2 linked regions of the Oryzias latipes genome follow. The protein of the gene in region 1 purifies or fractionates together with the protein of each later gene. This does not show direct contact. Links are inferred from orthologs where the notes say so. Each region holds a gene or a part of one and is shown on either strand. Other genes may lie near its edges.

Region 1 (4,118 bases):
ACTTACATTTCTCTCTTGTGGTTGAAATCCACAGCATATACAATCTCCTCCTCTCCATCCTTGACAATTTTCCAGATGGTTCCTCCAATCATGTGTCCAGCTGGAAGAGGAGTGATGGAAAGACCATGGCCTTTTCCTAAAAACCAAGGGAACGGATTGATTAAAAATACACACATTGTTAGAATGGCCAAGTTAGAGCAGTAAAGTAACGGAAACTCACCTTTCAAATTGACAATCTGAGAGTATTTTAACTGCTGGATTTTGTCAAAAGCGCTGTCGACATCATCCAGGGTGAAAAGTGTGAAGTCTTCACTGTTGTTTCGAGACTAAATGGTAAAAAGCAGAAAACATTTACAAAAAAAAAGCAGAAATTTCAGGCCTATAAATGACCTCATCTTTTATCCATTAGCCAATTCTAAAAGTCCCTCTCCTGCTTTACCTGATACAGATCATACATGAACATCTGACCCATCTTGTAGACAGGAATTGTGGCATAGATGGTACAGTTGAGGCCCAATTTGCCCACGGCATAAGGGAGGGCTCCGAGGTGAATGGGGTCAGGGTGTGAGAGAAGAACTGCATCAACCTGATGAACATAGCTGCCGGCAGAAAATTACACAACAATGGGTTTATAACAGAAATATCAACATAATCAGAAAAGCCTCTCACAAAAAAATATATCATCAGCTAATAAGTCCATGATTAGTAGCAATTATTTCATTATAGACGTGTATTCGGATGTATATGCGTATGTATATATATTTTCCAATCAATTCATGACTAATTATCCTATCTATCTATCTATCTATCTATCTATCTATCTATCTATCTATCTATCTATCTATCTATCTATCTATCTATCTATCTACCCAGGCTGTGTCCCACCAAAGTGGGGTAGCCTAGACAGGGTATCCATTCTTACCGCCCTCCTTCTCTTCCACAAACCCTCCTCCTTCAGTGTGTGCGTGTGTGCACGTGTGTGTGTGGGTATGTGACTGGTTTAAGCCACACCACACTGCACCAGGGTCAGCTGCACAGCCCAGTGTAGGCACCTCCACAGCAGGGCCTCAGCCAAGGCTAGTTTCCCCTTGCCGCTTCATCCCAAGACCAGACCTCTACCACGCCCATCCATTCATTCATACACAAACTCTCTCCACCCATCCCTGTCCTGAGCAGCCTCTCTCCCCTGCACCACAGTCATCCCTCTTGCATTCATCGCTCTTTTTACACCCTCTGTCCATCCCATTCGCGGTCTTCCTCTCATTCTCACTCCACTCACATCAGATTCGTACACCTTTTTCACCAATCGCTCCCTTCCCATTCTTTCAACATGTCCAAACCATCCCAGTGCCTTTTGCTCTGATCTATAAGCCAACTCTCGCATCACACCAGTTCTTTCTCGGATTACTTCATTTCTCACACGATCCATACGTGTCACCCCACACATACTCCTCAAACATCTCATCTCAACTACATTCAGCTTCCTCTTTTCCACCACTTTCAGACTTCATGTTTCAGCCCCATATAACGCTGCAGGCACCACCACACCCTCATACAATCTCATTATGCTAAGTTAGATATATCTACGTATAGATCTATATTTCTGTTGTTTCTCTTCGTTAGTTTGATTTTGATTAAAATGAACTATTTCCAAATACACAATCCAAATGTTTACAACGTGATGTGGATTTATCCGCTCAAATGTGCTTAAGTACTGTCAGATCTTCCCGAACGACATCACAATGAACGATCAGACTGTGTTTATATCTTTATATACATTTTGCATGACCTATTATCAGAATCAAATCTGTTTTGAGGCACAGTAAACATTTGACAATACTAGAAATTGAAATGTCAGCTGCAAAATCCAGAATACAGCCTAAGAGAAAAACAAACAAACAAAAAACACAAACAGATTCAAACTTTTTTCCAGAAAGGGGGTTGAGGCTTAATGGTCCAAGAGGAGATGCTCTGGTACAGCAGGTGAGAATGGATTTGATGAGGTGGTTTAGAAGTTCAACAACAGCCTCAAAGGAAGGTGGAAGATCTTCAGCTCCCTCAAGAGACTCTGAAGTATATGCATGGGTGTAAAGTTCTTATTTACTATCAAACTCACCGCTTCATGGCATCAATGATGTCCATTGAAAAATGTTCGTCCCATCCACAGTCCAAGAGGATGCGAAATTCATCCACCTGCAGGAGATAACAGAGGGCGGACTCCTCCTGAACCCCTGACACGGCCGTCAGCTTTATAATCGAGGTCATTTTTCTTCACTATAAACGCTGTGAAAAATAAAAAAAGATTAGCACAGTGCCCTTCCACCGACCTTTGATTAAAACAAGCTTGTACAAAAAACCCGTTTACGTTAATTACAACTAATATTAGGATCAACAAACACGGTATATAATAGGTGTTATAAATTTAAAGGAAGTTTAGTGTGGCGGGAATTAAACACAAGATGCGTAATTAAAATCCCACAAATTAATGGAACCGATAAGAGACTTTGGTAAAAACACAAATAATAAATAAAACAAAACAATGTGGTTGTTAGCTAAAGTTAGCACGGTCGTTAGCTAGTTACCCGGCAAGTCCTTTTAGCATGTTAACGTTACTGGTTGTTCACTGCAGTTTCATTGTGTGTCATACCATTTAAAGTGGGTTTGAATTAGTTATCCTTCCTGAGAAAACAAAGTAAATTAACCGACTACAATTCCCAAGTTAAAGCATTTTCTTTAGTAGCTACTGTCTACAAAACATTAATGTGGTAGACATTTTTGCGCCAGCATCACGTGACACAGGTCAAATGAATGTACCACTAATAGGGGTGTTGCCACAATATAAATTGCACCAAAACAACGCCAAAATGTGTAGTTTTTAAAAGATGCGGTATAATATTATAATTCTATTCTATTATTCTACAGTATGTAACTTTCCCTTTTTGTCATGTATTAGCTTTGCAAGTTGGCTTTCACGCGCTGATCCGCGTCGTTGACACTCAATTGGTAGAGTCCGATGTCCTTCGCTTGGCGAGTCGGTAGCTAAAGGCCGCTGGTTGATACAAAAATAAGGTAATATTTTTTACAATGGTCATTACATTATTGTTTTTTTCAATATATTGTTTTGTTTAATGCTGTGTTACATTTTGGGTAAATAAATAAGCAATTACAATCATTCTTCTAACAAAATAAAATGTTTGCTGCTAAATTTGCTAACTGCTACACAGCACTGTAACTAATTGATCCCTAACCAATGTTTGTTAGTATTATTTATTGTTTTTAGCCATTTTTTTTAACTCTGAGGTGGCTTATTTTTTTTGCCGTTTGTAACACTTCTTTCGTTCTTATTGGTGTTATAAGAGTCAAGTTAGCTTAAAATTAAATGGATAAACTTGTCAAAGGAAGGCAGCATTACTTTGTGTAACCTTTTTTTTTCTTTCCAAAATATGGAAGCCATTCAACGTCCTTTACAGAGATTACATACTTTTGTAGCTTGAAGGAGAATGAATGATAGCAAAACACAGTTTAAACGAACTAAATGATGAATGCAACTGGGAGTGCTGCATTTCAGCAAACCAACATTAAAGAACAACGGTTTCAGTTGTTCGTGACCTGATCTACTAGTAGCTGGTGCATAAACAGCTTAACATCAGAGGTCCAAAAATATCAAGTCCTATTTGTTTTTGGTTGCTTGAAACAATTTGATGTATACAACAATTTTTGTTGACAATAGAATTTAAAAATATACTTTTATGGGTTTTTAAAACTGTTTATTGGAAATCCATGTTGCTATCACCCTCGGTTATGTTAGATTTTATTGTGTCTTCTAATCTGCCCAAATTTACTTTATTCTTAATTTCAAAGCCAAATAAGTGTCATTACTGCAGTTTAATTGACATCAAATCCTCCATCTCAACTTTAAATGTGTGTAAATATAATTTTTTGTTTTATTCTTTTAGGGAGCCATGGTGAATCCTGCAGCCCGCCGATACTGGGTACATTTATTTGTTCCCATGGGCTTTGTGATTGGCTGGTACCTTGATAAACTACAAGACCAAAAGCTGACAGCTTTTAGAAACAAGAGTGCATTGTTTGGAAGGTGAGGAAAAGAAAACCTAAAT
Region 2 (4,311 bases), on another chromosome or scaffold:
ATATATATTTTTTTTTGTCTGTTTCATCAATGTCAAATCTTTAATGTTTACTGAAGCTATGCTGTAAAAAGCCAGAAGAAATGCACATACAGATGTTTTGGAAATACATTTTTTACAAATAGAATTTGAGTCAACTCGAGGAACTGGCTTAGTCAGTTTGGATTTGCCAAACTTTGACTGATTCGAACTTAAACTACTCTAATTCCTGTAAGACTTTGTTAAGATACTGTGAGGACGTTCTTGTGTGTTTGTCTCAGTAGAGTTTTGTTACACACTAAATGACAACCCACAGACAGCTGACAGACTGTCCTTACTGAGGTTAGCTCGGAGGAAGCCACCCAGATGACATCCACCAGAAGGAGTATCACCACCCCTAAGGCCATCCTCCTCCGCTGGGCTGTAGAGCTTCCCTGAGAGCTCATCCGGTTCATGATGAAAACCCACTCCATTGAGACCCTATAACAGACACATGACATAGAGGGGAAAACGAATATGATATTTTTTCCCTCTTTTTATTCTACTGTATGCTTTGCTGGAGGGACAAGGCAACAATGCCACTGTACATTGCTCTAAAGGTACAATTTATAAGAATATACCATGACAGATTCATATAGACTTTTAAGACAAGGTAAAAATGAAAAAAAGTTCCTTAAGACTGGGAAACCAGTCAAAGGCCTTTCCTACAGGTTTTTCCAATGAAGACCGTGGTTAACTTAACTAACACGTTGCAGGAAATACGCTTGTAAAGCATCACTAACAACAATACTCATAAACGCGTGTTACAAGTGATGATGTGCGTGTTTTCTACTAGACCTCCGCCTCTTTAAACAAAAATTCTGTTGCATGTTCATGTGGCAATGAATGTAAAACATAAGTGGTCCCAATGAGAATCAAAACTATGAGCACGAAACCGTCTGCAATTTAAAGATGTAAAATTAACTGATTTATTACGATACGACGTTCTGTATATTAAAAACAAAATAAGCACAGTTTTTACTAGCTGTATCCAAAACAAGCTTCGCAGTGGTACGTTTTAGCTGCCTGTTTTCCAAGCTAACTAAGAGCTAGTAAAATGTCCTACAAACAAAGTAACAAAAGCAATAACAGCGGCGTGTTCACCCGAATGCGAGGCGTATTCATTCACTTTTCTTCATTAGTTGATGTCCGATTGATCTTTTACATTACTGTTTCTAAAAAACAACACGTTTTAAACGAGAATATTTTACCACTCCAGCGGTTGTAAACATAAGCACTTCCTTGTCTTGTTATTAGCATCAGGTGACATCACTTATCCCGCTAAGCCTCATGGGACTTGTAGTTAAATGGTGATCGATTAAAAACATTTGAAATGTGTCTATGGCACATATTTTGTTTCCCATGTGATGTAAACAATACTAGTGTTCTTATTAATAGTTAAAAAATAAATAAACAAAAATAGCTTAGAGGCACACAAATCCAGCAGGAGGCGCTGCTTTTATTTGAGTATCCGAAAACAGCCGAAGAAGAACCGTACCATAGCTTCTTCGATGAAATATGGCGGTAGCTTTGTTTGCTTGCTAGCAAAGTTAATTCATATATTTAATAAGTACTAAAACAAGGCAAATCTTGTTGTCTAATAGATCATATTTGTAATTACCCGTTTAATACAAGAGTTAGTGTATCTATAACGCAGTTGGCTTAGTAAAGTAGATTATTATTTTATCGTTTTGGCTAACCTAATGTTACGAGCTAACTAACTGGATTCATTCTCATCATTCTGGTAATCGTGTAGGTAAGTTAGAAAAAAATACTGACTTGCGTATTGAAATTTGTTTATTTAAGTATTATCAATTGAATATGTGTTTCTGTAATACATACGAATGTTTGTAGTCTGACTTAAAACGTTCAGTAATTTGAATTAAAATATAGATGTTATGCGTAATTCTCGTATTGTTATGTATGCTCTAAATTATTATTATTATTTCTGTTTTCCTTTCAGGATCATGCAAGATTATTACTGACTGGAACATCAGCAACATGGACATTTCTTCTAAGGCGGAGGACACTCCGAAAGGGGTCGATATGACCACCAGTGAAAAGGTCTGTACAATTAGCACAAGATGAAAGATTTGTTTACAATCTCAGGGACAACAACACAATCTGGAGGTAGCAGACTTTAAAACAGAAATATTTTAATCTGAAATTGTTCATATAAAGCATTTTAAGTCTTAAAATATACATCTAGAAACACAACAAATCATTAAATGCTTTTTGTGTGATGCAAGTTAAATCTTGATCTTGCTATCTAAACATTCTTTATTTTTTAATCTGCCATCGATTTTGTTCTGATAAATTGCAATATATAAGAAATATTTACAATTGCTGCAGTTTAATCTAAATGGGGCTGTAGTCTACATTTGCAGTTGTCTGGGGTTAATAGCTAAGAACACCTCATTTGGCTCAAACATGCTATATAGTAGAAATTATGCTAATATTTTTTGGCTGGTTAGCCTCTTATTGTAGCGTTGTAGAGACTTACTCTGGTTCTTTCTTTTCTCAGGTGGTGGAGCTTCTGAATCAAGCTTCTCTCATACCCACTGATGAAAAGCTGACTGCTCTCAAACAGGTTGGTAGTGTAAATCTGTGCAGTTTAGATGACTGCTACACAGCAGCACCGACTGAGGTGCTGATGAGGTGGTTGTAAGAATTTGAAGTCACGCGTTTGAATTTCCTTTAGGTTCAAGAGCTCATCATCAACAAGGATCCGTCCCTTCTTGACAACTTTTTGGATGTAAGTAAGCACCTGCCTTTCATGGCAAAGGAATGGTAAGCGTGTAAGTTAAAATCGGCCCAGTCATGTTCTTGTATCTTGCCAATTCTATTTTACAGGAAATAATAGCGTTTCAGACCGACAAATCAATAGAAGTGAAAAAGTTTGTCATTGGATTTATAGAGGAAGCATGGTTAGTTGTTTGTGTCAACATTTTACATCTTATACACTTTTAAATGTATGTATATTTATTGAAACTCTTTTTTTTTTATATCTATTTCCCAACTAGTAAAAGGGACAATGAGCTCCTTGTTAGACTTATCGCCAATCTAAACATGCTGCTGAAGGATGAAAGTGTAAATGTGGTGAAGAAAGCCATTCTGACACTCACTCAGCTCTATAAAGTAACATTACAGGTATGCACCTTAAAGTCACTCGCATAATTTCCTGCTAAAATAATAGGAATACGGTGTTTTTATGTTCCCACATCTTCTGTTGTTTCTTTTCTGCCAGTGGTTGGTCAGCTCAAAAACACTGTCAGAAATGCAGGAGGCATGCTGGGACTTGATCACTCAAATGAAAGGGGAAGTGTTGGCCTTGCTGGACTCCGACAATGATGGTGTTCGCACACACAGCATCAAATTCACAGAATCTTTAATCATCACTCTCTCGCCGCGGACACCTGACTCTGATGTACCCAAACGCCAGGATGCTGACATTAGCCTTGACAAAGTTCCCAAAGACCATTCGTACATTCACTACGGTAAAGATTTTAGAACTCTCTTTTTTTTTTCTTTTTTTTTTTTTTAAACAGGCATGTTAAAATCTTTCTTACTGCAGGATAGATTTATTACATTCTGTTGAATCAACAGGTACTTTGTGTGAAGAAGGAAAGAGTGCACTGGAAAAGCTCTTAAAATTCATGGTCCACCCAGCTATATCCAGCATTAACCTCACCACTGCATTGGGTTCTTTGGCAACGATTGCCCGTCAAAGACCAATGTTCATGTCAGAGGTGGTGCAAGCATATGAGACCCTCCACGGTGAGTGCTTCTTAGTCAAAAAAATATATATTATCCCCTTAACATTATTATTAAGGTGCAATCATTAATATTTATCTTTTTTTCTAGCTAACCTTCCCCCCACTCTGGCCAAATCTCAGGTTAGCAGTGTTCGAAAAAACTTAAAGCTGCACTTGGTGGCAGTTCTCAAACATCCGTGCAGTGTGGAGTTCCAGGGTCAGATCAGCACTTTGCTGCTGGATCTGGGAATGCCTCAGACTGAGATAACTCGAAACACTCCTGTACCACGAGAGCCTCGCAAGAGGCCTCGCTATGAGCAATACACAGAGGGAAAGAAGGTCAAGATTGGTGAGTAGTTCACCACAAAAATGCAGACTGCCTTAGAAAATAACATTTTTATAAAAAAAAAACAGTCTTTAAAGGACTTGTTGAAAGATTACGAGTGTTTGTTTTCTTGCCATCACTTGCAGAGGCTGTAACTTTGCTTTACTTAGTTTTTCTTTCTGCACAGGTTAGTCTCTATTGCAGCAGCATCACACC

What was found. Proteins that work in one complex are often made in the same cells at the same time.
Region 2: the proteins of cpsf2 (region 1) and sympk purify together in Homo sapiens (co-immunoprecipitation; 8 studies listed by BioGRID and IntAct, with this or other methods). This does not show direct contact. The link is inferred for Oryzias latipes from reciprocal best matches to the Homo sapiens genes CPSF2 and SYMPK.

The regions. Positions count from the first base shown.
Region 1 is NC_019882.2:5,327,413-5,331,530, reverse strand, and holds the start of cpsf2 (cleavage and polyadenylation specificity factor subunit 2), read right to left. Parts: upstream 2,808-4,118; 5' UTR 2,648-2,807; intron 2,284-2,647; 5' UTR 2,266-2,283; coding exon 2,117-2,265; intron 600-2,116; coding exon 440-599; intron 327-439; coding exon 221-326; intron 137-220; coding exon 7-136; intron 1-6. UniProt on the Homo sapiens protein: Component of the cleavage and polyadenylation specificity factor (CPSF) complex that play a key role in pre-mRNA 3'-end formation, recognizing the AAUAAA signal sequence and interacting with poly(A) polymerase and other factors to bring about cleavage and poly(A) addition.
Region 2 is NC_019879.2:16,691,411-16,695,721, reverse strand, and holds the start of sympk (symplekin), read left to right. Parts: upstream 1-1,507; 5' UTR 1,508-1,771; intron 1,772-1,978; 5' UTR 1,979-2,016; coding exon 2,017-2,079; intron 2,080-2,539; coding exon 2,540-2,605; intron 2,606-2,716; coding exon 2,717-2,770; intron 2,771-2,868; coding exon 2,869-2,942; intron 2,943-3,038; coding exon 3,039-3,165; intron 3,166-3,262; coding exon 3,263-3,512; intron 3,513-3,621; coding exon 3,622-3,792; intron 3,793-3,879; coding exon 3,880-4,119; intron 4,120-4,311. Other genes in the region: slc35f5 (solute carrier family 35 member F5), read right to left, coding at 315-456, 1,227-1,285. UniProt on the Homo sapiens protein: Scaffold protein that functions as a component of a multimolecular complex involved in histone mRNA 3'-end processing. Specific component of the tight junction (TJ) plaque, but might not be an exclusively junctional component. May have a house-keeping rule.